Cricetulus griseus: one gene and its partner. The protein of the gene in region 2 purifies or fractionates together with the protein of the main gene of each other region. This does not show direct contact. Links are inferred from orthologs where the notes say so. Each region holds a gene or a part of one and is shown on either strand. Other genes may lie near its edges.

Evidence for each region. Proteins that work in one complex are often made in the same cells at the same time.
Region 1: the proteins of Slf2 (region 2) and Slf1 purify together in Homo sapiens (co-immunoprecipitation; 3 studies listed by BioGRID and IntAct, with this or other methods). This does not show direct contact. The link is inferred for Cricetulus griseus from reciprocal best matches to the Homo sapiens genes SLF2 and SLF1.

Annotation. Positions count from the first base shown.
Region 1 is NC_048595.1:298,138,745-298,142,399, reverse strand, and holds part of Slf1 (SMC5-SMC6 complex localization factor protein 1), read left to right. Parts: intron 1-71; coding exon 72-212; intron 213-1,491; coding exon 1,492-1,638; intron 1,639-2,486; coding exon 2,487-2,630; intron 2,631-3,655. UniProt on the Homo sapiens protein: Plays a role in the DNA damage response (DDR) pathway by regulating postreplication repair of UV-damaged DNA and genomic stability maintenance.
Region 2 is NC_048596.1:16,631,728-16,635,382, reverse strand, and holds part of Slf2 (SMC5-SMC6 complex localization factor protein 2), read left to right. Parts: intron 1-120; coding exon 121-164; intron 165-705; coding exon 706-1,445; intron 1,446-2,940; coding exon 2,941-2,995; intron 2,996-3,655. UniProt on the Homo sapiens protein: Plays a role in the DNA damage response (DDR) pathway by regulating postreplication repair of UV-damaged DNA and genomic stability maintenance.

The DNA of each region.
Region 1 (3,655 bases), on a different chromosome or scaffold from region 2:
CCATAAAATACAATAAATATTCACACTAGCATTATTATACCTAGTTAATGTATTTTTTTAATCACATACAGAAAGAAATTCAGAATGATGAAGATTCCCAAACCAGTTCTGGTTGGACCAAATACAGCAATCAAGAAGAAAGCAAAAATTTTAAGAAAGACTCAGGATCTCTTGAAATGAAAGCTGCTGGAGAGAGCATGTATAGAATCCAGGTAAAGTTTTATGAGTTAAACATTCTCTGATTTTTCGTAAATAATTGTAAGAGAGAGCCCATTTTTGGTAAACCTTGGGATCTGAAAACTAGCATATCAACCTTATATTTTTAGGCCATGAATTGAGCATGATGGAAGTTTTTGTAAGTCTGTGTTTGGGGGCGCTTTGAAATAATGCATATGTGCCTAGAGAATTGTTGAGTTCCTCAAACATGGCATAGTTTCAATGCATGCTAATTACTTAAAACTTCTATATGCTTCATGTGGCACCAGCCTTAGAGGACTTTTCCTCATCTGTGAGCACTCTCTTCATAATTAATCTAAAGTTATCATATAACAGTTTGAAACAAATTAATTTGTATTAACATGGAGAAAAAAACAAAAACACTAGGGCGACTGCAGCTGTTGTGACATGTTTCACAGACATTAATGATAGACAACAATGAAAAACCTCATTGGTTCTACTGAAGAAAAGCTGATCCTCATTTAATACTGTATGTAATAAGTGTATTTATTTTGTTAGTTTATCAGATCAGTTATTCAGTAACTATTTTCTAAACTGAAACATTTTTATGTGTAGTTAGAAACTCATTGTGTTCAAGATAGGTACAATTTAGAAGTTTTTTAAATTTGTAGTCTCTTAAAATCACATGAGGAGTTTAACTAAAGATTAAAATACTTTAGCCTTTTTGCTCCTACTCCTGAATGCAGTGGTATCTGTGTGCCTTTTAAAACTTCCTTCTGTAATCTTGGGTGATGTTTAGTAAGGCTTATTGAATTGGTATGTCTAAAATAGTCATTCCAAATTCAGTTTGAACAGTTTTACATACAGCAAGGAATATTACATACAGTAAGGAATGGAAAATGATAATGTTATCAAAATAGATTTCATTTTATTAAATTTTATTAAATATATAAAAATAGATAAATTTTGCAAAAGATGGGGAAATTATCAAAGTAAATGTAGGAGATTTTACATAAAATTAACAGAAATTTCTCATGTCCCAAAGAAATGAGATAGTAATACTTCATACTCTAAATTAAATAGGCAGGTTATGTAAGTATATCTAGTAAGTTACTTTTTATAAAATGTGGTAAACTAAAGCATATGTTTTCTTAGCCCTTTTTGTATAACTAGAGTGGATTCAAATTCACCTTACATTTTAAATTTACTCTCATGTGTGCTGTATAAAACCTGCCTTTCTAAAATTTTGTGTGACTTCCATTAGTTGTGTTGAACCTATATTAACTCAGTATAATTAATTTTATAATCACACAGAACAAAATGGAAAATCATGACAAAAATATTAATGACAGATTTGTTCTGAGTGAACATCACAATAAAGAAAAATTCAGAGACTACAGAAAATATATGAAATCTGTTAAAAAGAGAAATACATTTAGAAGACATGTACATGAGAATCAGGTAAGTTTTCACAAAAATATTCCTTTTATGTTATAAATCCTTTCTAAATTTACTAAATACAATGTGAGTCATGAAACTTCTTAGGAAGTACTTGTACAGAAGTGTTATAAGACATTTATGCAGCAATTTTAAAGGAAGAAGAATGCCAATTTATCAACTCCTTGGCCAAGGAAAGAATCAGTCTTCCCCAATTTTCAAGCCACCTCTGTGTCATTTCCTAACTGTATCTTTTCCATTTCACATGGAAGTATTCCAAGTATTTCTTATTTTAGAACTTATATTATTTTTCCTTTTGTGTGTGTGTGTGTGTGTGTGTGTGTGTGTGTGTTTTGTTTTAAAGTGGTATTTAGTTTTGCTTGTTAATGAGCATTTATTAGGTCACACTATTTATGGACATTTTCCTCACCTATATGTTTTGTTGTTTGATTGTGTTGCAGTTTTAAACTTCATCCATTTTGTTGTTGTTGTTGACAAGCATTCGGTTTTCTTTTTGTTTCTTTGTGGTTGATTGGTTGTTTTGAGATTATCTAACAGTTCTTGTATAAATAATTAGTATTCTCTTGCGTGACTCTTAGTACACAGGTTTATGGATTTCTCTAGCTGAGAATGTATTCCTAGAAATGAAGTTATTGTCATCAGGACAATATGTCACCTGTTGTTCATGATGCTCTTCTGTTTTTCCAAATGCTTTTTGCTAACATATACACACTTGTCTGTAGGAGAGCTTTTCTTGTGCATAGAGCTCTATTGATCAATGTGTCATGTTTATTTTGTCATCCCCCCCAGCTTATTTGGATTTTGTAACGTTTAATGCATATTCTGATTTGTTTAATTGTGGTAAAATACAGAAAGAAACTAAGAAAAAACATAAGAATGTCCATAAAAGTTACATTTTGAGGAAAAAGAACAGAAAAGAAGATTATTACAAAACTGATGATGAACATGACACAATCAGAAGTACTTTAAAAAAGCATGTGCATTACAGAGATCAGGTGAGACTATAGAATATGTGTTTCTAAGTTTTCTTTTTTTGTAGTCTAGCCAGTGGATGTGCTTAATAAAGATGCTCGCTGTATTAAATTCTATATACTTTTGAACAATTCTTAATGATATACTTATATTTTGCTTTTATATATATTATTTTACTTATATACATTTATTATATTATATACATTATAATATAATTAACTTTGGTCTATAGTAAAACTCTATATTAATATAAATAAGGAAATTTGGCTGACTGTGATTCTTAAATTAAGTTGTATTTCATAAACAAAAAGGAAAAGAAAAAAATGATCTAGAAGAGAGGTAAATTTCTTTTAACTTTTTTTTTAATTTTTGAAATTGTAATATAAATTCAACATGTTTTCCTTCTTCCCTATATATCCCTATTCTTTTCCAAGTTCATGACTATTTTTTTCACCATTATTCAGTAATAATCACACACATATATGTATTCACAGTACATATATATTCCTAACTATAAACTGTTGAGTCCATATAATGTTACTTATTGCATACATGTTTTTATGGTTGACCTGTTGGCACTGGACAAGTCATAGGTGTACTTCTCCCTGGGGAAGAACGTCTCATCCACTCCCACCTTTCCTCAGTTGCCTAAAGTTCTTTCTGTAGGATTGTGGCTCCATGGTGTTTCCCTCATCTACTTTGGCATGTTGGATTGGTGACTTCCTTGTTCAGCTCATGTTTAGACAATCAAGTTGATGAAACTTAATGGGTGTAGCTTCTGATGTTACTTGGAGACACAGCCTCACTTAAACTCTCTGATTCCTCTTACTCTTAAAAATCTTTCTTGCTCCTCTTCCTTCCAAGTTCCCTGAGCCTTAGGTGCATATATTATAGATGTATCCATTGGGACTGGGCTCTACAACTTGGCATATTGATGGCATGTGGGTTTCTGTAGTGGTCCCTGTCTGTCACAAAGAGAAGTTTCCTTGATGTGAGGTAAAGACCACCCCTGTCTGCAGGTATAAGAACAAATAGATTGCTGTTGGCA
Region 2 (3,655 bases):
AATTCAGTTAGTGGAATCAAGCCTATATTATATAAATCTAACATTTACCACTTAATCTAAAATATGGAGGCTTTAATACTTGGTTTTGTGATGCCATGTTAGTTGTGCTTTTATTTTCAGGAAACAATCAATCATAGATTTCTTCAAGCCAGCTTCTAAACAAGGTATGCATATTGTTAATGTATTTTTGATGGGTTGTTTTAGAGGTGAAGAGGGCCTCCAAACTTTTTATTATACTGTTCAGAATTGAAAATTATACAATTATAATGAAGATGTGATAAACATTAAGCCATCTGTTCTACATATTTAACAGTTAAAATAATCCAGTTTATAGTGTTGATATTTTTTTATCCTTTTTTTTCCCAAGACAGGGTTTCTCTGTGTAGCCCTGGCTGTCCTGGAACTCACTCTGTAGAACAGGCTGTCCTCAAACTCAGAGATCTGCCTGCCTCTGCCTCCCAGTGTTCATATTATTTTTATTCTCTAGTACAGTAGCTCACAAATAGAGCCTTAGGGAGGTTAGATGATATAGCAGAAGGGCTTTTACTTCATAAAAGGTAAACCTATTTCTTAATTTCTCTTCCATAATGTAATTGGCTTGAATTTTTTAGTAGCTTCAGTACAGTTATAAATTGATAGTTAATAGAAACATTAGTTTACTTTTAATAACATAATTTGTATGTGTTTTAATTGTGGCTGTTTTAGACAAACATATGTTGGATTCTCCACAAAAATCAAACATCAAATATGGAGGAAATGGAGTATCCATCAGTGGGACAGAGCAATTTGAAAGGAAATTATCTTCACCAAAAAAACCCAAACCCAAACGAATGTCATCAGAAGAAAGTCCTATTTTAGAAGCTTTCATGAAAGGTAGGAAAGAGCACCACAAAGATCATGGCGTACATGAATCACGGCAGCCTTGTATGTCAGTCGGCTCCAAATACTTACTCCAAGGAGCAGGTATCTATGCTCCTTCCTCTTACCGATTGTCCAAAGAGGTGAAGACACGGAAGAAAAAACACAGATCTCCAGAGAGAAGGAAGTCACTGTTCATTCATGAAAGTAACAGGGAAAAGAATGACAGAGATCGAGGCAAGACCAGTGAAGACTCCAGAAAGCAGTCCCCGACTACAGAAGGTGACATCTTCAAGAACAGTTCCAGGAGTGTTAGCAGCAGAAGCAGCCTGTCCCGGCACCACCCAGGAGAAAGCCCTCTGGGAGCTAAGTTCCAGTTGTCATTAGCTTCTTACTGCCGAGAACGAGAGCAGAAGAAGTTGAGAAAGGAACAGCAAATGGAACAGAGAATCAACTCGGAAAATTCTCTCTCAGAAACAAGCAATCTTTCCTTAAAATCATCTAGTGTAGGGAAAAAATGTAAGCCAAGGCATGAACACAGTAAACAGAATGATGCTGCACCTGGAAAGAGTAATCTTTCAAATCTGGTATGTACAATAATAAAAGTAGAGCTTTACCACTGCTGTGCCATGGTTAGATCCTAAGTCTAAAGATACTGATCTATAACATTTAAGGAAATGCAGGTGCATAATTTGATCTAACACTGGCTTCATTAGATTTCCTCCAACTACCCTTCATTGAATTCAGTAAATTTCTTTACCTTAATTTTTTCAGACCAGGAGCAAAGATCTTTTCTAATGGAAAGTAAACATTCTTTCAGGCAAGTATAGTCATTTTTAAAGTTAAGATTTCCAAAAAGAGGTGTTTAAGGAATGGCAAATATAAAAGAACAGGAAACAACTTAGAGCAGTGGTCCTTAAAATGTCCTTGGAGCAGTAGTAGCATCAGCAGCACTTGGGAATTTGTCAGAAATGTAGTCTCCACCTAGTAAGAAACAGTGGAGTTGGAGCCCAGGAGTCTTTGGCTTATAAGTCCACAGATAACTGATGTACTCTAAAACTTCAAGAATCACTGTTCCAGATATATATAAATCTTTGATTTATTTTATTTGAATCGGTATGTGGAGAAGCCATCAAATCCTCTGGAGTTGGAGTTACAGGTAGTTGTGAGCTGCCTGACGTGGGTGCTAAGAACTCAAGTTGTACAAGAGCACAAGAACTTTTAACTACTGAGCTATTTCTCCAGCCCCATATACAAATCTTAGATAGTTATGATTTGATTGAGTATGGGTTTTGGAAATATAACTGATGACTTAGAAAACTGCATGTATTTTTTATTCCTATCATTTTTCTTTTGAGAACACAGACTCAGCCTCAAAGCTTTCCCTCTTCCCTAGAAAGTTAACTACACTGGCGTACATAACCCAGTCCTGTCTCAAAAACAAAAACAGTGTAGAACTGGGAATGCAGCTCTGGTGGAGTGCTTGCCCAGTATGTGAAGAGCCCTGGATTGAGTCCTCAACACTGCAAAGAAGTGTAGTGTTGATAAGCTACTATGAAAATTTCAAATCAGATAAACCAAAAACTGGACATTCTAGGAGTGAATGTAAAGAAATCCTAGCATTGTGTATTATTAGAAGGTATTTGTAAATTAGCAGCCTCTTTGCAACAAGATTGTCCTTTTACTACTAATGTTGCTGGTGATCAATAGATGTAATATTTGGTTCATAGCCTAACAGTCTTCAACTATTAATTTTTGAGTTATGAATATAAATTACTATTACCTTGTGAAACATAGACTTCATTTTTGTGGTTTTTTTTTTAGTTTGTTTATTTGTTTTCCCATTTTTATGGTACAGATAGATGGCTGTGTGTGTTTCCCTAGTGCTAGATAGTGCATTCAGGCCTTGTGTGTCCCGACAAGCACTGCTACATCTCTGAGCTACATCTCCGGCCCATACCCTTCTTTTTAAGATCTTTAAAGTTTTCCTTTTCTTTTTAAAGCTACCTCTGAATATAGGTGCTAGATTATTGGTCTAGAAGTCTGTTCAAATGTAAATTCATATTCTTTAATTCCTCATAGGAAAATGGACATCTCTCAAGAAAAAGATCATCTTCAGACTCATGGGAACTTTCAGGTAGGTAGCATCAGACTTAAGCATACAATTTCTAAGTAAGTTTGCATCTTCTTCATATCACTTTTAAAAATAAATTTATTCATATTCAGTTTCCATCCTAGAATTAAATGTCTCAGCTAATAAGAGTTGGGTAAAAATTATATCTCAAAAGAATAATACTCAGAGCTACATATGGTGGCACATAGGAGGATCTAGAGTTTGAAGTCAGCCTGAAATGCATTGAGTAAGATCTGACCTCAAAAACAAACAAACAAAAGTGCTTGAGTTTATTCTTCATAATCTGTTGTCTTGATTTCTCTCTGCCTTCTTCAGGAGTTCCTAATAGTGTGTTTTAACAGTGTGTTCTTTATACTAGTATTGAGTGTTTCACTTCAGAATCCTTAGCTACATCAGGAAACATACTTTGATGTTAGGTTGATGGCACATACGTGTGATTCTAGCACTGAGGGAGAGGAGTGCAAATTTGGGGTAGCATGGGCTACAGTAGGATGCTGTCCCAGAAGGAGCAGCAGCATATACTTGTATTCTTGGTGTACTGTTAAGAATACTTTGTATGAAGTTAAAACAAGATTCAAATATTCCAAATACAAAGATGCCTTTCTAATTAACATCTCAAGGACATCTATAAGATATTAATACCTTAATGTCTGCTCATTGAGA